Linked DNA regions of Arabidopsis thaliana. The protein of the gene in region 1 interacts with the protein of each later gene in a pairwise test. Each region holds a gene or a part of one and is shown on either strand. Other genes may lie near its edges.

What was found.
Region 2: the proteins of CAK1AT (region 1) and DEL1 interact in a two-hybrid assay, tested with the Arabidopsis thaliana proteins (one large-scale study listed by BioGRID).
Region 3: the proteins of CAK1AT (region 1) and CYCH;1 interact in a two-hybrid assay, tested with the Arabidopsis thaliana proteins (one large-scale study listed by BioGRID).
Region 4: the proteins of CAK1AT (region 1) and DPA interact in a two-hybrid assay, tested with the Arabidopsis thaliana proteins (one large-scale study listed by BioGRID).

What each region holds. Positions count from the first base shown.
Region 1 is NC_003075.7:14,285,715-14,291,413, forward strand, and holds CAK1AT (CDK-activating kinase 1AT), read left to right. Parts: upstream 1-2,682; 5' UTR 2,683-2,756; coding exon 2,757-3,257; intron 3,258-3,449; coding exon 3,450-4,388; 3' UTR 4,389-4,402; exon of another isoform or gene 4,403-4,724; 3' UTR 4,725-5,199; downstream 5,200-5,699. Other genes in the region: AT4G28990 (RNA-binding protein-like protein), read left to right, coding at 5,491-5,680. UniProt on the Arabidopsis thaliana protein: CDK-activating kinase that modulates CDKD-2 and CDKD-3 activities by phosphorylation of the T-loop. Activates CDKD-2 C-terminal domain (CTD) kinase activity. Activates CDKA-1 probably by phosphorylation.
Region 2 is NC_003074.8:17,781,331-17,787,573, forward strand, and holds DEL1 (DP-E2F-like 1), read left to right. Parts: upstream 1-2,000; 5' UTR 2,001-2,310; coding exon 2,311-2,444; intron 2,445-2,521; coding exon 2,522-2,589; intron 2,590-2,678; coding exon 2,679-2,731; intron 2,732-2,815; coding exon 2,816-2,893; intron 2,894-3,003; coding exon 3,004-3,057; intron 3,058-3,148; coding exon 3,149-3,260; intron 3,261-3,422; coding exon 3,423-3,490; intron 3,491-3,581; coding exon 3,582-3,657; intron 3,658-3,764; coding exon 3,765-3,826; intron 3,827-3,923; coding exon 3,924-4,329; coding exon of another isoform or gene 4,330-4,358; exon of another isoform or gene 4,359-4,392; intron 4,393-4,415; coding exon 4,416-4,516; 3' UTR 4,517-4,830; downstream 4,831-6,243. Other genes in the region: APC8 (anaphase-promoting complex subunit 8), read right to left, coding at 374-686, 1,150-1,235; ALDH10A9 (aldehyde dehydrogenase 10A9), read right to left, coding at 4,960-5,050, 5,200-5,306, 5,406-5,466, 5,554-5,705, 5,793-5,870, 6,002-6,115. UniProt on the Arabidopsis thaliana protein: Inhibitor of E2F-dependent activation of gene expression. Binds specifically the E2 recognition site without interacting with DP proteins and prevents transcription activation by E2F/DP heterodimers.
Region 3 is NC_003076.8:9,769,362-9,776,042, forward strand, and holds CYCH;1 (cyclin H;1), read left to right. Parts: upstream 1-1,941; 5' UTR 1,942-2,400; coding exon 2,401-2,460; intron 2,461-2,676; coding exon 2,677-2,727; intron 2,728-2,803; coding exon 2,804-2,882; intron 2,883-2,978; coding exon 2,979-3,091; intron 3,092-3,198; coding exon 3,199-3,272; intron 3,273-3,454; coding exon 3,455-3,575; intron 3,576-3,683; coding exon 3,684-3,752; intron 3,753-4,021; coding exon 4,022-4,063; intron 4,064-4,246; coding exon 4,247-4,324; intron 4,325-4,675; coding exon 4,676-4,734; intron 4,735-4,872; coding exon 4,873-4,957; coding exon of another isoform or gene 4,958-5,023; exon of another isoform or gene 5,024-5,042; coding exon 5,043-5,318; coding exon of another isoform or gene 5,319-5,323; 3' UTR 5,324-5,514; downstream 5,515-6,681. Other genes in the region: ALY1 (protein ALWAYS EARLY 1), read left to right, coding at 1-63, 178-345. UniProt on the Arabidopsis thaliana protein: Associates with CDK-2 and CDK-3 and activates the CDK kinases.
Region 4 is NC_003076.8:541,248-546,817, reverse strand, and holds DPA (Transcription factor DP), read left to right. Parts: upstream 1-1,862; 5' UTR 1,863-2,103; exon of another isoform or gene 2,104-2,388; 5' UTR 2,389-2,394; coding exon 2,395-2,513; intron 2,514-2,600; coding exon 2,601-2,662; intron 2,663-2,745; coding exon 2,746-2,789; intron 2,790-3,028; coding exon 3,029-3,100; intron 3,101-3,188; coding exon 3,189-3,329; intron 3,330-3,423; coding exon 3,424-3,492; intron 3,493-3,713; coding exon 3,714-3,812; intron 3,813-3,890; coding exon 3,891-3,961; intron 3,962-4,054; coding exon 4,055-4,256; 3' UTR 4,257-4,500; downstream 4,501-5,570. UniProt on the Arabidopsis thaliana protein: Involved in the regulation of the G1/S transition. Increases the DNA binding and the transactivation activities of E2F proteins after heterodimerization. The complex DPA/E2FA promotes cell division and acts as a regulator of the endocycle.

The DNA.
Region 1 (5,699 bases):
CAGTAGGCACAACTTGTGCTGTGATTGGACAAGAACCTGAAGCTTGCCTATGCTCGTTGAACCATTCAGAAAACTTAGAAATCATCACATCAATCATTGGTAACAAGTGGTATTTTCTCGCTTTTTTAAACACACCATTAATGGACTCCGCAGAATTACTAGTGTCAATGTTATACTTGTCTCCTTTAAAATGGCACCTCGACCATTTCTCAAACCCTACTTTCACAAGAAAGTCAGCAGCTTTAGGCCATAAACTTGTAAAATGACCAAACTCTTTCTCGAACTCACTCTCAGTATATGCATGAGCACAATCCCTGAACTTGACAGCAGCTCCATCCTTGTCAATTGTCACACGATCTCTCATGTTTTGACACAAATGCCATATACAAGCTGCATGAAGCGCATTCGGGTACACCGTCTTGACAGCCTTCTTTATGCTTTGATGCCTATCACTAATAAAGACCAATCCGGGAACATCCGAATATACAGTTTTCAGCTTTTCTAAGAACCAAATCCAACTTACATCCTTCTCGCTATCAATGATTCCAAACGCAAGTGGATAATGATGATGATTAGGATCTTGTGCTGTTGCAATAACCAACATCCCACCATACACAGTTTTAAGATGAGTTGCATCCACAACTATCACTTTCCGCATTGCCCTAAAACCTTCAATGCAAGCGCCTAATGCAATGAAGAGGTACTTGAACTTTTTCTCTCCTTCCAACTCCACATAAGTTACTGTCCCTGGATTTACCTTCTCTAACATGTAAAGATAAGAAAATAACATCGTGTAGCTTCTTTCCGGAGTCCCTCGCACATCACTAACATGTAGCATTTTGCCTCTTAAGGCAGTGGAGTATGAACAATGCACCCCAAGTCTTCCTCTTACAATCGACATAATGTTTTTTGGAGTTGGGGTCTCTAAATTTCCGGGATAATCACAATGTAAAACCGATGCTATTAATCTTGGTGTGCCTCGCTGTATACTGTTGCTTGTAGTCTCAACACTCCGAGAGCATGTATGCATCTTTCTATGCACTCTAACACTCCAAAAATGAGATTTTTTAGTTCTCGCAACTCTTAGATACCAAGTACACCCTTTAGAAGCTTGGCGGCATCGTAGCATAAGTCTCAACGGGTCTGACTTAATAGTATAGACTCCAAAAACTTCTTTCTTTGCAGCTCTGTTAACCAATTCCCACACAGCCTCCCTTGAACAAAATTCTTGACCAATTTCAATACCCGTACCATCATCCCATTCTATAACCTGCGGAGTAACTTCTACACTTCGTGGAATATCGTGAATATCATCATAATCAATCCTATCATCCTCATCTTGTTCCTCAACAGAATTCACCGGCCTTTCCATCGGCCTTTCGATAGCCACGATCTCCGTACCTACTACATTCTCACAATCATTCACATCATTATCATATCCATCATGCACCATCTCACATACTTCATTTAAAACATCATCCTCTATTACATTTACACCAACTGAACTTCGACGCTCCGGTACAGAAATTTCCTCTCTCCTCTCAACTCCTATACCATTTAATTCCTCCACATGCAAAACAGGAATCCGACTCTCTTCATCAGATTCTGTTAAAAATATGAAGACATCCTCATCATTTACAATATATGTCTCTCTCCTAACTTTAGACAGATTGTAACTCAGTTTCAACTTGACAGAAGCTTCATCAATCGCAACCTTCTTCATGATCTTGTCAACTAACATCGAATAGCTAATCTTCTCCAAACTACTCGTCTTAAACGATATAACATATAGTGAATTTTTACCAATCCACTCATTCACTTCAGAATAGTATCCTCCAAAGTCAAAATGTACCTTAGTGTGGATCTTCTTCTTCATCGCTCCTGAAAATACAACCAGTTCAACTCCAATCAAACATTTTAATAGTTATACCACATGTACTCTTATCATACGTTGAAATCAATCTCTCGTCGCACTCGTCTCTACTGAACCTAATTCGTTACCTTTCAATTGATTTCCAATGTTAATACATACCTATTCGTTAAACTAATTGGTTAATCTAAACTTTGCAAACACAAACCCCCCAAATCTTTAATATGAAATCTCGGAATTCAAATTCAACTCACATTCAACCTACATTCCTTTGCTCATCACCTCAAATAACGTTTCGGCAACCTCTAATCGATTACTCTTTACTTTGCAAACCAATCATCAAACTATCAAATTGAATCGAGCTGGGAATTATATAGAATTCAAAATCCCAATCTAAAATCACAATGCACCAATGTCAAAGGAAATATGAGAAGAAACTGACCTAATTCGTGGCTTTTACGCCGGATTTCAAGTCGGCGGCATGAGGAAATCGATGGTGGCCGACGAAGAAGATGAACGTCGACCAAAGAAGAAGAACACGACGACGAAGAGGAGAATCTCCGAACTCGATTTTCTTTATTTAGCTTTTGAATTTCTTTTTCATTTTTTTAATCAACTCATTAAGGGTACAACTGGTATATCACATTTTCGGTGGCATTCAGATTAACTTATGGCAGTCCAGATCAGTTTTTTCAAAAAAGTGGCATAAGTGATAAAAGTCCCCCCCTGCGGTTTGGTTTCTTGTCCGCTCCAAAACTTGTGAGGGCATTTTAGTCATTACAACATGGGAACTGGATTTTTAAACTGGTGAATTCGTTAGCGTTTATGTGAATAATCATCCATCATCAGGAAAGATCCGAAGAAAAGCGACGCCGTTTTAAAGGAGATGGATAAACAACCGGCGACCAGTTGGAGTATCCATACCCGGCCGGAGATAATCGCCAAGTACGAGATCTTCGAGCGAGTCGGATCCGGAGCTTACGCCGACGTTTACAGAGCTCGCCGTCTCTCCGACGGTCTAATCGTCGCGCTCAAGGAGATTTTCGATTACCAATCTGCGTTCCGGGAGATTGACGCGCTCACCATCCTCAATGGATCTCCTAATGTAGTTGTTATGCACGAATACTTCTGGCGTGAGGAAGAGAACGCTGTGCTTGTGCTTGAGTTTCTTAGGTCGGATCTCGCTGCGGTGATCCGAGATGGTAAGAGGAAGAAGAAGGTAGAAGGAGGGGATGGATTCTCGGTTGGGGAGATTAAGAGATGGATGATTCAGATTTTAACCGGTGTTGATGCTTGTCATCGGAATTTGATTGTACATAGAGATTTGAAGCCTGGGAATATGTTGATTTCTGATGATGGAGTTCTTAAGCTTGCTGATTTTGGTCAGGTGAGATTATGATTGTTACTGATTGTGTTAGTTATTTCATTGTTTGATGCACAAATATGAGAAACCTCTGAATGAAAAATGCTTGGTTTGCTTGAAATTTGGAAGAGTTAGTGTAATCAAGTGGCTAGACCTTATCATTTAGTGTAATCTATGAGTTTCTAAATGTGTGTTGGCTTCTTGGTTCATATACAGGCTAGGATACTCATGGAGCATGATATTGTAGCTTCAGATGAAAACCAACAAGCTTACAAACTGGAAGACAAAGATGGAGAAACCAGCGAACCACCAGAAGTTATTCCTGATTATGAGAACTCACCTAGGCAAGGGTCTGATGGTCAGGAACGGGAAGCGATGAGTAAAGACGAGTACTTCCGACAGGTGGAAGAGCTCAAGGCTAAACAGGTTGTTAGAGATGATACTGATAAGGACTCGAATGTGCATGATGGAGACATATCTTGCCTTGCAACGTGCACTGTTAGTGAAATGGATGATGATCTCGGTAGGAACTCGTTTTCTTACGATGCTGACGAAGCAGTGGATGATACACAGGGTTTGATGACATCTTGTGTGGGAACCCGATGGTTTAGGCCACCAGAACTGCTCTATGGATCTACGATGTATGGGTTAGAGGTCGATCTATGGTCGCTTGGTTGTGTGTTTGCAGAACTCTTGTCTCTTGAGCCTTTGTTCCCAGGAATTTCAGATATTGATCAGATCAGCAGAGTGACCAATGTGCTGGGAAATTTAAATGAAGAGGTCTGGCCTGGTTGTGTTGATCTTCCAGACTACAAGTCAATCTCATTTGCTAAAGTAGAATCTCCTCTTGGTATTGAAGGATGCCTTCCCAACCATTCAGGGGATGTGATATCGCTGCTCAAGAAGCTTATCTGTTATGATCCAGCTAGTAGAGCTACTACTATGGAGATGCTGAATGACAAATATTTAAGTGAAGAGCCTCTTCCAGTTCCAGTTTCAGAGCTCTATGTGCCTCCGACAATGAGTGGACCAGATGAGGATTCTCCGAGAAAGTGGAATGATTACAGAGAAATGGATTCAGATTCAGATTTTGATGGCTTTGGACCCATGAATGTAAAGCCTACCAGTAGTGGATTTACAATAGAATTCCCCTGACCTTGGCATTTAAGGTACGCAGTCAAAAGCTCTGGCTCGCTTAAACACATAAATCAGTCTCTTCTCTCTCTCTCTTTCTTCTTCAAAGAGAATGGGTATATACCAAAACCTGACATGTGTTTCTTTAGGTCTTGATTGATGCAACACTCTTTGTTGTTTGAAGATCTTGTTACAGAATACCGCTTAGAAAATTGTTAACTTTTCGTTAGGACATTGTTTAGGTATCAATGGCGGCAAAAACTTTTGAAATTCGTTTGCTCATTGATCTCACAACTTTTTTTTGCGCTTTGTTTCTCTCATCGATCTCAGTTTTATGTGTTTATCTCTCCTTGGCAGAGTCCATGGTTGAGCATCTTGATCATCCCGACTTCCCCTGAATTCGCCTACTTTGTCAAAAATGTGTTGTGTGTGTGTGTGTGTTGTTCCTCTCTCTCTGCCTCCCTCGTATGAAAATGGTAACATTTACAATTGGAAAGTCGGTGTTAGCCTTTAGCTATTAGCTGAAGAGCTAGTTTTCTTGTTGCCCAGGCCATTCTTTACCCTATTTTTCATCTGAAGTAACAATGAAACAAAATCTATATATACTCGAGTTTTGCTTTCTAGGATCTGTATTTCTTAATTGTTTCTATATTTTGATCAATTTTGAACTTTTCATATCAAGTTATCAACATGTGTAGTAGCAACCCTTCAATAATGAGACCATGGAATAAAAGCCTATCCTATATGTCATCCAGTTTTTGCTAAGATAAATTATTTTCAGTTACCCAAATTACATAATCAAAACTGATATCATAAACAACAAAAATAGCACACACAAAAATCATAACTGAATCTGATTCTTCCAGAAATGTGAACTGTTGTTTACTATAAAAAGAAGAAAACCAGAACCACAATACATTTGACTCCATGAATCAGTCATACTAGTCCAACATACTAAATATAAAACTTAAGGGGCAATATTGAAAATTAGACAAAAGTTGATAGACCAAAAGATAAATTAATAACAGTTACCAGTATCTATCGCCAAGTCTCCCCTAGGGTTTTTTTTCTCTGAAACGGACATCGAGAAATTCCAGGAGTGAGTTTTGACAATCGGAGAGAAATGGGGTCGACAGAAAAAGAGCAGACGACGCAACATCACCCGCCTCACATCAGCAGTCTCGTCGTACGTCCCTCCGGAAGCAACGACAGAGAAGACGGCCGCAACGCCGCCGGAGACTATGAGCCCGGAGAAGTCTCTCGTGACCGGCCTTCGTTTAATCGCTCGGATCGGTATAAGGGTGACAATGGTGGTTCGTATCTCTTCTAAAC
Region 2 (6,243 bases), on another chromosome or scaffold:
AAAAACAAGCTCTCAGTAAGTAATTGCCATAAACGTTTACAGAATAGTCTTTAAACAGGACGAACAATTCCAATTAAGTTTCACTCATTTATTTACTTTTGTATATCAGTTGCATACCCTCATATCTCTTGTATCATAGAACATAACTGTGACTGGACATCAACAAAATTGTGAATCAGAGGCTCAGTCCTATAAGTTTGTAATAACGTCCATATATTGCATTTATTTGAAGGCAGCCTACTGGCCGAGGCTAAAAGAACACTCAAAAGCATTTTGGAGCCAACTTTTAAAAAGTTCATTCCATCACCCTATTCTGATAAGATATAAAAGCTCTAGCTAAATAGAAAATAGGAGATAGAGAAACAGAACATACCAGATAAAGCGCATAGTAACGCAAGAACAGTGATTTCTTGCTCACTTGGTCACGAAGCATATGGGAGGCCCGTCTATACTCTCGACAATCAAAATAGGACTTTGCTAAAAGGTAAATGTCACCATCAATCGCTTCATCTTCTTCCGGGAGAGGAGTAGCTGCTTGAGAGAAGCCAACGGAAGGTAACGGTGTTGAAATAGATTCATTGGTGCTGAACCTTCTCCGGATGCTAGAGCTTCCTCGCTGAAACCTCGTATTCGCAGGTGTAAAATTAGACGGGTCTTGCTCTATCCCCACAAGCTGCTCTCCTGCCCTGCAATGATGAAAGCAAAGGAGATATCAAATATGGAACTGACTAATAGTTCACCACCATTGAACTACAATACGAGTACTAAAAACTGAAACTTTAACTCATAATTCACAAATTAGTGTCGAGCTCAAACATATCGAAAGATTGAACCGGAGATCAGAAGTTCCCATCGAAAGAACACATTTTTTCAATTAGTGTCGAGCTCAAACATATCATAACACAAAACCCACATGTCGAATCATCTGAATTGGAATGTATCCAACACCAAATTCGCAACAAAAGTGAATTCGAATCAACGAATCTGCTTAACCAAATTTGTTTACAATTAGCCCAGGATACAAAAAAATTAGTAAAACCCATAAAGGATAGTGAAAAAATCGATTTTTAATCGAACCAGAGCAGTAGCGAGCTAGAGATTGCAACAATGGGAGAGGTTGAATAAGATTAGGGTTTTGAGAAAACGAACCACTTTGCGGCGGAGTATAAACAGCGGTCGCTAAGCTGTCGAATAGCCGCACGTATTTCGTTTCGGCAACACTCTTTAGAGACCATAGCAGAAGCAGAAACTGAGAGTTTAACTTTAAGTATTCAAAAAAGAATCGAAGAATCTCTTCTTCGTCGTGGAGAGAGATTTCAGAAACATTTGCTCCCTCCATCTTAATTATTTTGAAATTTACAGAGAGATCGTGTGTATTGGGCCCATTGATTAACTTTTGGGTTTCAAAATAGGCCCATGAAACTAACATACACACACACACAAAAACTCTTTACACAACTAATTTTAATATCATATCAATTTTGTCACTTTGTATTAATTTCTGTTAGGTATCAATGAATTATTGAAAAAGTGTAAAAATAAAATAAGAATGCAATTTTTTTTTTTTTGTTTTGTCAACAACTTTAAATTAATTGGTTTAGCTCAAATGAGTAAGACCAAAGGTATGCAAAACTATTATAGAAAAAAAAATCTTAGTTGGACAAAATAACCTTTTGTTTTGGTCAATAGAAATTTTTAATGGTAAGACTATAATTTAGTCAAAGATAGACCCTGATTTTGCTTATGCAAGTAGTTAAACACTATCATGAATCTACCATTTTAAGGGCATTACTCTTTACAAGATTACAAATCAAAAGATTTAATCTTTCCAAAACCAAACAAACCATACCAAACCAAAAACAAATTCAGACCAAATCACTTTTAAATCCTACAAAACCAAAATCCCCTTACAACTTTACTTTTTGAGTTCAAGTAAAAAGATAGATATCCAAAATAGATCTTGTTACTATAATATTGATTGAAAATGTATTATTTTGGTTAATGTAATCTAATTTTGGAAAAGAAAAATGAAAAAGTTGAACAGAATCCTGAAAATATTGTAAGAAATTTTCTAAACCGAAAAAACAAAAAGACAAAAACCAAAAAATTGCGATCTGAACCGAGCACAAAACCGTAAAGGTTTCAGCTTTACCAAAATTTAGAGGAGTGTGTAAATGTTACGGAGAAGGAGGAGCCAAAAAATTCAAATTGGCGCTCAAGTATCTTGGGAAATTCCCCCTCTCTCTTTTTAGGAAATCCCTCCAAAATACAATATCAAATTCTCAATCGCAGACATCGTTTGCGTCAACCATGTCAGATCTATCGCCAGAAAGATTCAAACTTGCCGTTACTTCTCCTTCTTCCATACCGGAATCTTCTTCGGCTTTACAATTACACCATTCCTATAGTCGCAAACAGAAATCTCTCGGACTTCTTTGTACCAAGTTAGTGCCTTTTTACTAAACCCATTTTATTTATTTGTTGTTGAATTTGTTCTGATTAGTGTTCTTCGTAAACTCAGTTTCTTAGCTTTGTATAATCGAGAAGGGATTGAAATGGTTGGGCTTGATGATGCTGCCTCGAAATTAGGTATTGCCCACTTTGTGTTTGTGATTTTTATTTTCATTTCTGATTTTACATCTTAATTTGTTGATTGGGGTTTTTGGGGTTTATTTCAGGAGTGGAGAGACGAAGAATCTATGATATTGTTAATGTTCTGGAGAGTGTTGGGGTGAGACTTGTTTCTCCACTACTTTGTTTTTTTTCAGAATCCAGAAGTGTTATGTTTGCTTAATTCGAGTTTTGTCTAATTTAGGTTTTAACAAGAAGAGCAAAGAATCAGTATACGTGGAAAGGGTTTTCCGCAATTCCAGGAGCATTGAAGGAGCTACAAGTGAGTCTTTTCATTTGTTTTGTATTCGGATTCAATCCCATTCAATCCCAATTGTGAAGAAATGTAGCGATTTGATTTGCATATTCTCATAGGAAGTGTTCTTGATGTAGGAAGAGGGGGTTAAGGACACTTTTCATCGTTTCTATGTCAATGAGAATGTTAAAGTAAGTCATTTGGATTTGGTTTCTTTTGATATACTTGTGTCTTTAGTTTGTTGTCTTCATACTTCTAATGCTTAAAGTTTCATACTTTCAGGGATCTGATGATGAGGATGATGATGAAGAGTCTTCTCAGCCTCACTCTAGTAGCCAGACTGATAGTTCAAAACCTGGTTCTCTTCCCCAATCTTCAGATCCCTCCAAAATAGGTACTGTTTCATTTTGTGCGTGTAGTACTTATTGTGTTCGGGTTTAGTGCCATTGCAAAGTAGTTAAGTGATTTACCCTCTTGGTAACTCTATATGTGGGATATGAATTATGAGATGCAATGTAGATATCCTAACATTTTGTTGGTTGGTTATGTATGACAGATAACCGACGAGAGAAATCTTTAGGATTGCTTACTCAGAACTTTATCAAACTCTTTATTTGCTCTGAAGTAAGTGAGAAGTTCAAAGATTCGTTTTTTGAACTAAAGAGTTATTCACTAAGTTACTAAAGATTTGTTTTTTATGTGTTCAACTGTTTAGGCTATTAGGATCATCTCCCTTGATGACGCTGCAAAATTACTGCTTGGTGATGCCCACAATACATCAATAATGCGAAGTAATTATCTTCGTCTTGTGACCTGAAAAGTCTTTTCTTTTATGTTAACATCCTCGGTTGAGACAAATCGATCTGTGTTTGTTGACACATTGATTACTTTTATGCAGCTAAAGTGAGGCGGCTTTATGATATAGCAAATGTCTTGTCGTCAATGAATCTCATAGAGAAGGTAAGTCAAAGTTATCAATAGCTACAACAGTTGTGAACCATCTATGATTTCAAGCTGTGATTTAAGTCTTACTAGTTTCTGTATTCTCTGGTGGCAGACTCACACCTTAGATTCTAGGAAACCAGCTTTCAAGTGGTTAGGGTACAATGGTGAGCCTACTTTCACACTGAGCAGCGATTTGTTGCAATTGGAGTCAAGAAAAAGAGCTTTCGGAACTGATATTACAAACGTCAATGTTAAGAGAAGCAAATCATCATCTTCGTCCCAAGAAAACGCTACAGAGAGAAGGCTAAAGATGAAAAAGCACTCAACACCAGAGAGTTCTTATAACAAAAGCTTTGATGTTCATGAATCAAGACATGGATCAAGAGGAGGTTACCATTTTGGACCTTTTGCACCAGGCACTGGTACATATCCAACTGCTGGTTTAGAGGATAACTCTAGGAGAGCTTTTGATGTTGAGAATCTGGATTCTGATTACCGTCCCTCTTACCAAAACCAAGGTGCATATATTTTATTCACATCCATTTGATATCAAACTTGTCAAAATATTGCTATGAAATTAACTCTGTTTCTGAACAAATTTCAGTTTTGAAAGACCTCTTTTCCCATTACATGGATGCTTGGAAGACATGGTTCAGCGAAGTCACCCAGGAGAATCCATTACCTAATACATCACAACACCGTTAGATCTTCTTTTTCTTCTTCTTCTTCTTCTTCTTCTTCTTCTTCTTCTTCTTCTCTTACCTGTGAACATCAATCATCATTCGTGTAGAGAGCTTCAAGAGTCATTTCTTTTGATCAATGTGGTTTAGTTTCTCCACACAATTGTAACTGCAAGAATCCGACATTAATTCACAGATCGCATACCCTCTTTGCTTTCTGAAGTTTACTGTAGGCTGTAACTTTTGTATGTTACATATAAGAGCATTCATCTTTCGCCAGTTTTTTGCTACTTTTGTATGGCATGTTGTTTTGAGAAAAACAAAAAGAAATATCATCTCATCTTATTTTTCATTTTTTTCAAGAATTTAAAGTAGCAATACCATTTCTCTTACAGAAGGGTCTCTTGCTTTATTGGTATATTCTCATGAGTACATGTTTTAAGGAAATATCAGGAACTAGTGTTTGTCTCAGAGCTTGGAAGGAGGTTTGTACCATCCCCATGGTTCATCAGAGATATACTGAGTCACCTGCTTCACACTCAAGTAGTTCTCAAGTCCCCTGCGACGAAGAAAATATGTTTCAATTCAAATTTTGTTGGTAATCTATTACGGTTTAAGTTACTATGGACACAATTCCATCTAGTTGGAGAGTGTCTTTTTCTAATGGTTTGATAATCTTAATACTTATAGCTAACGAAAGAGACTAACCATTCTCCCAATTCACGGCCAAATCCACTGCGTTTGGTTCCACCCCATGGAGCTTGGCAGAAGCATGGCTGAGAGCAGTTGACCCACACTATTCCCGCCTGGAAAGCCTGAAACACACAATGATTACGATTCATAAAACTTTAGAGATTAAGTTCAATCATGAGGTTATTGATTGTTATTGTTGATAGTAAAAGTTAGATACACACCTTACTAACACGATCACACCGCTCCAGATCATTTGATAATACTGCGCCTGCTAATCCATATCTGCAAATACAAATAAAGTCAGGCATATGATCTAACACGTCATCAGTGGAGTTCTACTTCAAGATAAGAAGAGAAATCTACACTCACTGAGAGTCATTTGCAAGCTGAATTGCCTCATCCTCGGTGGAGAATGTTTTCACACACAGAGCAGGACCAAAGACTTCCTCTCTCCAGATTTCCATTGAAGTAGTCACATTTGAAACAATCGCAGGTTCAACAAAGTATCCCTTCTTTAAATGCTGCAGAACATAAATAAAATATTGTAAGTGCTACGGGCTCTAGATAGTATTTGGCACATACATAGAAGATTAGTCAATATAATGTACCTCAGGACGAACTCCTCCACAAAGAACAGTTGCACCTTCATTCCTAGCGTTTGAGACAAACTTTAGAACTCTCTCGTACTGCACAGGAGGATAAATATGTAAGACTTGACTAGAAATCTTTCGTCATTAACCCAAATTGATAGATAAGAGGGTTTTGGAGGATTGAGGTGTTTATTCTTGAGAATGTCAATTCTGTTTAGCAATTTAACCTGTCCTTTACTGACAACAGGACCAAGCCTACAGCCTTCTTCAAAAGGATCTGAAATCTTAATGTTCTTGGTCCACTTTACCAGCTTGTCCAAAAACTCGTCAGCAATCCTTTCCTGACATTTCACCAGATTCTTTCATGAAAACAACAGTACACAAGAAGTATAGTAAAGCTTCGCTATCCTACTTTTATCAAGGGTTCCCAAGGTCCTACGACAACTGATACTTATCAATCTATCCGAAT
Region 3 (6,681 bases), on another chromosome or scaffold:
AACAAAACACCAATGCCTTCAGAGCTTATCACCTCTTGTGTTGCATCTTGGCTCATGATGCAGGTAAAGGAAATAATTTTGTCTTGGACTAACGAAAGTGTAATCTAAATCAAGAATACCAAAGTTTTCACTTGATGCGGTTTTGATTAGAACTCTTTGTGTGTTATTTACCTGCAGATGATCTCAAAGAAGCAGTACCCACCAGCAGATGTGGCTCAGCTAATGGATACAGTAGTGAATGACTTGCAGCCACGGTGTCCACAGAATATGCCGATATACAGAGAAATTCAAACTTGTATGGGATTGATCAAGACTCAAATAATGGCTCTTGTAAGAACGTCATGAAACATTTGTGTCCTTTGTAATTAACCTGACATCGAAGATAACACTTGGAGATCAGATTTAATTGTTTGGATTGTAGAGGTTAGTTTAGTTTATAGTTAGTTAATAATTTGAACAGCTCCAAAGGCTGTTGATAATTAGTTACCATTGATTCTGTAACTTTTTTTTGTCATCATTCATTGTAACTTTGGTTACCTTTTACTTTGGAGCTGTTTTTTTTTTCTTTCTTTCTCAGTGATTATTTTCTTGGGTCATTTTGGATCCTAATGGCTGAAATAATTTATTCCCACCTTAATACAAAATCTCAAATATATACTATTCCTTAACTAAAATTCTAGAACAATGCCAAATGGATATGTTTGAAATACCTTTAATAACAACTAGGATTTAACCTGTGGTGTACCACGGACAAATGTTTTATTCATATATAATAATATTAAATTTTACGGTTTTTAATTTAGTATTTAAGTTTTATAATTTTATATTAATGTTATAACTAAAACAAATGGTGATGATAAAATAATAAAATAAATATTTAACATGTGCTATATCAATCCAAACTCGTCCCACTATATTTCATATCAATCCAAACCCGTCCCGCTATATTTCTCATCTCATGATATTTTTTTATAAGTTTAAATAATAATAATGTTTTATAAAGTTAAAATATATCTATAATATTTAAAAATAATAATTATTTTTTACTTAAGTTGGAAAGATTTTTGGAAACGTTTGTTGAGCGCAATATAAAGTATTTAAATTTTCAAATCTGAATAATTAATACCAATTATATATCTTGAAAGATCTTTGGCAACTATTGTTGAATATAATATCTTGTATTTAATTATCGACAGGAAATATTTAATGTCAATGGCATGACATTGTAAATACAAGTACAAAATTTATTTGCTAAAATGGCTGCAAAAATGTATATGTAGATTTACTTCTAATTTTAATGTTTCAAAGGACAAAACTAGGCATGACCATAAAATCCGAAGCCCGAAAAACCTAGTTCGCTTTGGTTCGAGTGGATCTAAAGTGTTTATTTTGGGGTTTTGGTTTGGTTCGTGTAGGATCTGAAACCTGAACAGATACCTGAAATATCGAAACTCAAACGGATACATGTAACTCGAAATAATACGTATACATAATTTGTCGGTAAATTCAGGTTCAATATCAGGTTTCAATTAAATTTGAGAACCAGCCCGAACCCGAATAGACCTCAACCGATATTTTCAGTTCCTAAATGTATTTTCAATCTCTTTACCAAAGTAACCCAAAAACCCAATCTAAACAGACCCGAAAATCCGAATGTCCAGACCTAACTAAAATCGTGAGTCAAACTCAAAAAATGATTGATTAACACTATATTATACTTTTACTTAGATTCTATAAATTGGACACATGTATGGGTGTTATTAAGGGTTGGAAACATAAATTTAAGCCATGACCTTATTTTTGGTTGGAAAATTCTTGTTCTTTTTTTTGTTAGTAAAGGGCTGTTAATAAGGGTTTTAATGGGTTAGCGAACGACACCGTTTATAATAAATATGTTTGCTAAACGACATCGTTTGACCTTAGGGTTTATTGTTTAACATGAAAGAACGTCGTTTCACCAACGTTTCTTCTTCCTCGCAAGTCTCAAAGCCAGGAACGATCTCGCCGTATGAGCAACTTCCGACATTAACACTGTATTGCTCTGCCGTACTCTCCTCTTTTTCCCTTCATACTCGTCTTCACATCTGAATTCCGACAAGATATTGCGTCTGCTCTCCTCTCTTCCCTCATTCTCGTCTTCTCATTACCAAAAACATCTTCTTCTCGTAGCTAACTCAATCCAATTCCAATCTCCATTCAAATCGAGCACCAGATAATTTTTTCTCCTAAATTCTAATATAAGCCCTAAAATTCAAAATTGAAATATCTATAGAATCTCCTTCCGATTCAGACGGATAATCGCCATCAACAGCGTGTGAATTCGATCAAAAATCTGAACTTTCCACAAAGAAATTCGAAAGCTCAGATTTTTCGATTTCGAAAATTTTGAAAACTCAGTTAATGGCGGATTTTCAGACATCAACACAACGGGCCAAGTGGATTTTCACTCCCCAGAAACTGGTAATCCCCTTCTCCTTCTGATCACTACAATGCGGCTTTATAATTATATTTTGTTCATCTTTGGATTTTCTTTGCTTTGATTGCTTCATAGAGAGTCGGATTAATCGAGCATTTGGAACTCTTTGTTACTTAGTTATGTGTGTTGTTGTTGTTATTATCTTACTTGTTGTGTAGAGATATTGGTATTGCAACTAAGCTGTAATGTTGTAATTGTAGGCAGAGAGATATAAAGCTGCTAACCAGAGGGCAGTGCAAATGCTGGAGAAGGTTTGTTAGAATAATTGTTGATATGGAGCTTTAGTCCTGTATTCATGTTTAGATTTTAACTTATTGTTATTCATAGTGTGGAACAACTCAAGTTGAAGTAGATGCTAGTGGATCACTAACATATCCTAAAGATAAAGTTGGTTCAGGAGATCAAGGTAAAAATTTTGGTTCCTTCAATATCTACTTCATACGTATCATAGTTTTGTTTGTCGAAGTTTAAATAATGTTACTTTTTGCTTTGTTACTCTCAGCTGATAAGAAGCTTAAGCCTTTGAGTGCTGATGAAGAAAGGTTCATGAGAGCATTTTATGAGGCAAAGGTCCAAGAAGTGTGCAGTGCCTTTGCATTTCCTCACAAGATTCAGGTGCATTTCTACTCGTCGAGATAGAAGTTTATGATGAAGTTAAAAATAAAATACCTGATTTTTGTTTGCTCTCTGAATTTATGTTTCTTCCTTCTAATATTTTGCAGGCAACAGCCCTCCAATACTTTAAGAGATTTTATCTGCAATGGTCTGTTATGCAACATCATCCAAAAGAGATAATGTATAGTTCTTTTAAATCCTCAAAATGGTCAAAAGCTTTGCTTTTTTCAAGAGAATAGTTTTGAAATTGTTTACCAAATGGAGCTAAGCATTTTGTATTTCTGAGCTCTGAGAGGCTTTTTAAGTCAGTCATAAATGGTCCATTGTTGTAATTTGGACTAATTGTTACCTTTCATTGAACAGGTTAACCTGTGTGTATGCAGCTTGTAAAATAGAGGAGAATCATGTATCTGCTGAGGAAATTGGGAAAGGGATTAACCAAGATCACCGAATAATTCTCAAGTACGAGATGGCTGTTCTTCAGGTATGATATGAGTCAATTAATTTGTACCAACTTCCCTATGTTTATTTTTCCCTGGTGTTCTTTTCTCTCTCTATTCTTTTGTTCATATTATATTAACTCTATGTGCAGAGTTTGGAATTTGATCTGATTGTTTATGCACCGTATCGTGCAATCGAAGGTTTTGTCAACAACATGGAGGTAAATCAGTCCTGTCTAAATTTCTTAGTAGGTTTTCTTATTTCAACTGGCTTTTCTCTGTTTACATCTTATAGTGATGAGACTCTTTTTCAGTTTATTGGCAATTGTTTTGTTGCAAACAAAATTCTGAATGTTAACTTAACGCCAAGAACTTGGTGAACCATAATAGGATATACCAAGATTTTCAATACTTTTTTCGGTGTGTTATTTTTCATCCTTGTTGAACTTCACGCTATCTTCAAAAGTAACCTCATCTTTTCATCCTATAGGAATTTCTTCAAGCTAGAGATGATGAAATCCAAAAACTAGAGGTAGATCTATCTTCAGATATTTCCTTTATCTTCACTAGATTTTAAGCATGTGGTAACTGAATGTGGGATCAAAATGTAAATTTTAGTGTAAGTTTGTGATCATAGCTGTAAGTCTATTTACTTAACAGGCTTTATTGAAATATTATTTTCTCATACTGGCATAACTTTTCAAGTATTCTGCAGAGTTTGCTCAAAGGGGCGACAGCAGAAGCCGATAAAGTTATGCTCACAGATGCTCCACTCCTCTTTCCTCCTGGCCAGGTGGGCATGCTAGTTTATTTTGTCTCCCTAGCCTCTTATTATCAGATTAAAGATACTGAATAATATCCATCAAAGAATCTGGTTAAACTCATTGTTTGGGATATTTCAGTAAAGCTTTAAATATGCTACTCAAGACATAAATTTAGGATGAAAGTTGGTGCTTTGTTTTCTCTTTGACTGATATTTAAGTGAAATTAATGAATGTTTATGATATAGTAGTATAGCTTATCGATATATACTCACCTTGTTCCTTCTTTCAGGATTTTTCGTTTTTCTTTAGCGTATATGTAACAAAAGAAGTATCACAAATTGTTGTACTGTCTCTCAACTCTTGAACGTGTGCCCTTGTAGTTGGCATTGGCGTCGTTACGTATTGCAAATGGGGTTCTTGGAGTGATTGACTTTGATAGGTTATTTCTCTTATTCTATATCCATCCCGATTATTTACCCTTTTAATCTTTCCATGATATTAATCTCGTGGTCTTGAATTTCTGTATATGCAAAGCTTTTTACTGGTTGTATTTTCAACTAAACTGCATTTGGTGCAGGTACCTAGAGAACATTGTTTCTCAACCGAACTCTGAGCACACGACTTCAGAGCTTACAAAGTTACTTGATAACATCGAATATTTGGTATTTACTAACTTCCATAATTATCTTAACAATGAAACTTGCATATCTAAAAGGAAGTTTTACTAGATGCTCTCTCTTATCTCAGGTAAAGAACTACAAGTGCCCAAGTGAAAAGGACATGAAGCATATCAACCGGAAGCTAAAATCTTGTCTAGGACATAGTTCTTCACATGACGAGTACACTAACAACCTCTCTTCTACTAATTCTTTTAACCACTATATATATTTCATAAGCTTTGCTTCTGCAATTGACTCCCTTCTCTATTTATCTTCATCAGGAGTAAGAAACGGGAGAAGAGATCAAAACACAAGTCCCATAGGAGCTCCAATGATACACCAAACGGGGCACCGCCACCCATAGGTTGAGTTTCTCGTACTGCCATTAGCAATTCTTCCTTTGCACTTTGGTTTAGTTTTAATCTTATTGAATGAGAAATTCGTCTTTTATAGTTTCTTCCCCGTTGTTGTTCTTACTAGTAAATTTGAGCAGATTATGTATAACAATGATATTGGCCATAAGTTTTGTTTATTCTGAAGATGTTAATGAATTTATAACAAAACTTCCATTTATTTTAAGTTTTGGTGTACATAACAATCGTCAAAAATGGTTTGTTTGCGATAATGATCAACTTTTTACATGATCAAAAGTTTTTCCAGACATTTTGATACTTTCTAGTTACTACCACATCTGTTCTTACACAGAAACAAATGGATATGACTAGTGTAGCGGTAACTATCAAATCCTAATAATAACAATGAAAATTTGTATTAAATAACCAAAAACCATCGAAAATAAAATTTGGATTGTGAATGAAACTTGTAAAGATGCTTGATTGGTTGTGCTAAATGTCTTTTACAGCCATAATATATTTGTTAAAGACTAAATTGTTGCCAATTATGTTATAGTTTTTTTCTTTAACTTAGAGCCCCAAAAAAAATCTTTTTGTTTTGACTGTAAATCTTTAATTTTCTACATCCTATTTTGTGTTGTAGATTTTTTTTTTTTTGTAGATTTTTTTTTTTTTTTCTCTCCTCTAACTTTTTGTCACGATTATTTTCAACTAATAATCTAAAATGTAGTTATATGAATAACAGATAAAGTATTTTATACATTTAGACAAATAATTTATAAATTTATATAGATTCCATTTACCTAGATGTGCAGAATTCTTTTTGTGTTTTTATTATAAAATTGTTATTAAATAATTTATATATATTCCATCTACCTAGATGTGCATAATTCAATTTGTGTTTTTATTTTATAATTGCTATTAAATAATTTTAGTAATTATGATATACAATTTTCTCATTTTGAAAAAAGGTAATTTATAAATATAAAATTCAAATATTTCTTAATCATAATTTTTAGTTACAACTAAAATATTTATTGCCAAAATCCTATATTTTTCAAATCTACAAAACCAAGAGGTTACCGTCAAAATTCTACAGTTAGAGCTTATACACTTATTGCCAATATTATACATAAAATATTTTACCTTATGCAAATGCCTATGCTTTTATGGGTCATAGACGGACCTGGCTACTGTGTAACTAATCACCCACATAATTTATCAGTCAAACATAACAAATTCTTTTTGTGCCAAAAAGTCAAAAACGTTAGAAACTGGATTTTGGAAGTTGATGCATGCAAATAGCAACTTGTCGTGCCGCGCTATATAAACGCTGCATCAAGTTTTCGTAATTAACTAAAACCAAATTAGTAT
Region 4 (5,570 bases), on another chromosome or scaffold:
GAAGTAGGATTATGCGTCATCATCAGTGTTTAGTATACATCGGCCTACGAATTTAATTAACTAATCCAGCTTTGTTGACTATCTAAGTGTATTATAAATTCTAAAACAATCGAATCAAAGAGTTTGAGGATAACTACGAGGACAACATATTTTTTACTTTAAAAAAAAAAAATGCATTTTGAGTCAGTTTTATGAGTATCATATTAGCTTGTTGATGTATTTCACCATGTCAGTTTTTAATTTATGAAGGCGAGTAATGATTGTGTAAAAACAATTTTGGGCAAACATAGGAAAAATATAAAAAACATATTAAATTTCCAAAATTAAATAAATAGTCTATTACTCTACTAGATTTCAGATGTTAAGAAAGAAAAAGCTACTGGAATAAATACGCATACCATATGATACGGTAACATTATTTTGTTTATTGTATGTTCAGTTCCTCAAGGGACACTTGAACATTATGAATAATATATTTACTGCAATAGATATAATTGTTTATGTGATATAAACGAAAGTTGACAAAAAAAGAAGACTAATTAAAGAGTAGAATTAGTGAACCAAAAAAAAGAGAAGAAAGAATCAAACATGACTTTAAAAACTCAATAATTGAGATCTGAGAAGACATTGAAGATGACCCCAAAAAGATATTGGGAGTTGCCACCTCTCATCTCCCAAAACAACGACAGATATACAAACAGCAAACAAACATTTAAATAGATCACACTATTTCTTTTTTTTGTAATGACAAAACATATATTTATATATTCTGACAACACATAGAAACATCAAAGTAAACAAATCAAATTTGAAGTTATATTGTTTCAAAATCTTATGATAGTGCATAGCTATGAATAGCATGAGGAATTGATTAGTCCATACCGGTCTGATTAAGGTATACGAGAAGGAAGGTATACATAAAGGTTAAACAAAAAAAGAGGTGAAGAAGAGAAACATGGCTAGTGAAACTCTAAACGGTTGGAAATGATGATGAAGCAATGAGTAAGAGAATGACTCTCCGCAATCAAGCAGCGTAGGAACTAGGAACAGCTTTGGTTCTCATGGCCATGCTCCAAACTTTCTTATCAACTCGAACTAGTTAAAACTACAAACAAAATAATTTAATTTAATCTTCATATGGAGAGAAAAAAAACAATCATGGAGAACAAGTGGCAAGTACCAAGTGGTTGCAATTATCATAAACATATCCTTTTTCAAACTTTAAAGCTTTTAATCGGTTAACAACTTGAACAAACAGTTATGCTGAAATTTATCATATAGTTTTCAGTACTATACGAGTACGATCATCGTATAAAGAAGAAAAAGAAAAAGGATCAAGCAACTATGCATATATTCTTTCGATCTAGTGAAAGTGCAACGCAACCTTCTCACACGTTGCAGGCTTAAAGCACTAACGTGTAAAACTATAAGCATCTTAGAAAAGAAATAAAAAGTATATGAGAATAGTGAGTTTTTTTTTTTAATAGTTACAAGTTGATGATACGGACCATGTCTTATATATAAGACGAAAAAATCATAAACTTTATAAGCTAGCGATAATGTTTTCAATAACTTAAATGCATACGTACCAAACATTTTTTCAAGATTCAGTGAACTTAATATTATTATTTTTTAAACAATTGGATCGAATACAAACACAACTGTCAACATATGTAATAGAGACAGCCAAATTTTCATTATTTATTTGGTAACGTTATCGATTATCAAAGAGTTTAATACGTGATCGATTTTAGACATATAATTAGCCCAACGGGCTTAAAATTACAAAGAGTTACAAAAGGCCCATTTAAATCCCCCGCCAAAGTTGAAAAACGACACCGTAGCGGTTGGGTTCGAACACAGAGAGTGCGTGTGTTTTGTTTTTGTTGAGGCTTTTGATGGGCTATGGAGAATTCTGTGTTTGTTTGTTGTTACAGTTTGTTTGTTTGTTTATAGCGGGAACTCTCACCCAAAGTAATTTCATCTCCGATTTTTTTTTTTTGGTTGTTGTTCGCATCTCTGTGTAATAAAAAGAGTAAAACCAAAACCCTAGAAAAAAAATCTCCATCTTTTTTTATTCCGCCATTGGAAGATCGATCACTGGTTCGTTCTTTGATCTTTTGAAACGGATTCGAGCTTTAGCCTTTATTTCTCTGAACTAGGGTTTTCTTCACCATCGTTAGATCTAATCCAACTGGTTGATGATTCCCATTTCATAAATTTTGTTTAGCTTTTGTTAAAAAATTGAAATTGGAGCTGTCAACAATTTAGGGTTTTTTAGATTGTGTCTATTGATTCATCGGTTTTAGTCAACGATGGATTTGAGACATGAACAACTAATTGATTTGATTTCGTGTAGCTAACTTTGTTAATTGGTAAATTGTGTAGAGAAGGATGAGTATGGAGATGGAGTTGTTTGTCACTCCAGAGAAGCAGAGGCAACATCCTTCAGTGAGCGTTGAGAAAACTCCAGTGAGAAGGAAATTGATTGTTGATGATGATTCTGAAATTGGGTCAGTGTTAATTATTCTTCTTACTCACAAAGTCTCTGGTTTTTTTACTTGGAGCTAAAATGTCTGTATTGAATTTGTGTTTAAAAGATCAGAGAAGAAAGGGCAATCAAGAACTTCTGGAGGCGGGCTTCGTCAATTCAGTGTTATGGGTCAGTGATATATCTCTCTTAGCTCAAACATGCCTGAAGTGAAAGTATTGTTGTTTTGCTGATTTTGATTTAACTTCACACAGTTTGTCAGAAGTTGGAAGCCAAGAAGATAACTACTTACAAGGAGGTATTACTCTCTTTGTTCCATTAAGGAATTGGTGATGTAATCAATGAGTTTTCAGTTTAAGACGCATTAGAATTGATCTTTATATGAACAAGTATTCACTTCAAGAAGCAATCCTCTAAGTTAGTTGTTGAGCATTGTCTCAAATTCTTCTTCTAATCAGGAGTCTTGCCCTTATATAGAGGCATTGTATCAGAAAATGTGAAAATCTACGTTTGAGACTGTGGCTCTTGTGATTCCAGGTTGCAGACGAAATTATTTCAGATTTTGCCACAATTAAGCAAAACGCAGAGAAGCCTTTGAATGAAAATGAGGTATAGCGAGATGGAAAGCTCATATCATCTGTCTTGAGTTATTTGGAAAAAAAAAAAGCTATAACAACATTCTCTTATGTTCAATCAGTACAATGAGAAGAACATAAGGCGGAGAGTCTACGATGCGCTCAATGTGTTCATGGCGTTGGATATTATTGCAAGGGATAAAAAGGAAATCCGGTGGAAAGGACTTCCTATTACCTGCAAAAAGGATGTGGAAGAAGTCAAGGTTTAGCTTCCAAGCTTTTCCTTTCAGTTATCTCATCTATGTAATTGCTCTCTCTCTTCGTCTTCTCTACTAATCTCTCTACCTCTATTTGCAGATGGATCGTAATAAAGTTATGAGCAGTGTGCAAAAGAAGGCTGCTTTTCTTAAAGAGTTGAGAGAAAAGGTGATCTTCTTTCTGTTTGATGGAAAATTTAAATACAAGACTCTCTTAGAATTTGAGATCTTGTTATGCATGTCAATAGATGACAAAAGTTATTGATATTGCAGGTTTTCTAGAATCCATAGATACGTCGTGTATTGAATCATTTTATGTTGTCTTAATGAAATGTTAAACCGTCTTTCTACGTTTTGCTTATAATGTTACTCAAATGTTGTTATCATCAGGTCTCAAGTCTTGAGAGTCTTATGTCGAGAAATCAAGAGATGGTTGTGAAGACTCAAGGCCCAGCAGAAGGATTTACCTTACCATTCATTCTACTTGAGGTACTTCAAAAATCTCTTTCTCGTCCGTAGTTTCTATTTCATGTTTTTCGATATCCTAATCTATTTCCATCTCTATAGACAAACCCTCACGCAGTAGTCGAAATCGAGATTTCTGAAGATATGCAACTTGTACACCTCGACTTCAATAGGTAAAAATAAACAACATTTCTTCTCAAAATCAAAATCAGTTCTGCTATCTCTTAAATCGGAATTGAAATCTTCGTAAATTTTGTTGTGAGCAGCACACCTTTCTCGGTCCATGATGATGCTTACATTTTGAAACTGATGCAAGAACAGAAGCAAGAACAGAACAGAGTATCTTCTTCTTCATCTACACATCACCAATCTCAACATAGCTCCGCTCATTCTTCATCCAGTTCTTGCATTGCTTCTGGAACCTCAGGCCCGGTTTGCTGGAACTCGGGATCCATTGATACTCGCTGACCGAGCTTCTATTCCCAAATTCTTCAAGAAGAAGAAGTAATGATCTAATTGGTATACTAAAAAATTATACATCTGGTTTAGTGTTCAATTGAGAGAGACTGTAAAATCAATTCATAGGCCAACAAATGTTTGTTTATCCAATTTTCCTTTTTATTCGAACTTGATGCGATATTTCAACGGAAACAGAAACTATTGTTTTAAACCAAAACTAACCGTGTTGAATCTATTGGCTATTTTCCTTCTGTTTGATTGGTCTAACAAATTTAGTCTCCGGTTAGGTTGGTTTACCGAAGCTAGTTAGATTCAATTTACGCGCTTAAATGGCGCGTGTGCTAGGAAAGTTCAAAATTTGCAATTCCCATGCAAAAATAATGTTTTTTGTCTGGAAAAGGAAAAAAAGAGACATCGCGGCGGTTCGAGGGAAAGAAAAGCGAAATTGGTTGGGGACACTTCGGAAGAATGTTGGACTGTTTTTCAATTGCCGTCAAAATAAATACTATATACTATTCTTTTCATCAACTTAATCTACTCATTCTCAATACATTTTAAATCAATATCATCTAATATTATTTAGTAATTAGTGTTGGCCCATTTTAGTCCAATCTATTAGTTACTTGTTTAGTTAAAGTTGAGGTATATAGACGTACTAAAATTCAAGCACAACCAATTTCTCTTCTGTATAATTAGATTTGTAGCTGATATAGTCCACAAAAGCAGTAGATATCATATCAGCCCTAATTTTCTTATAGAACAACTAAGATATATCACAATTGCAGTTTTCTCTTGAATACCACTAAGTACTAACGTCACCTAGATCCAATCCTAACGTTTATCATCTTTTATTTTATTTTTCGATTTTTTGCATGCTAATTAAAACGTTTCTAAATATCTTGACGTACATCAATGTTTTCTGATTTTTACTGACTTTAAAGTTTAAACCATACAACCAGTCAAGCTAAGTGCTTTTTTCTTTTATTTTCTAAAACTGTGTATATGTATAATTTGCACACATAGTACAGAAGTAGCAGTATTGCCAGAAAGAGAGAATCAGAAAGAAACTTATGGGTTAAGCAATCGGACACACTCACTCTCCTCCACCTTCCCAAAACCCTAAGCAAATATGTATATAATATATAAAACAAAAAGAGCCTCGCAATAACACTGTGGACACACTCAATTCTTATTTTATTCATCTATATATATAATTAATATGATATTCAAACATATTCTATATATATATATATATGTGTATATGTGTGGGTATGTATATAAATGAATAAAGGTTCTTCCTTTACCTTTGCCTTCTCTCTCTAT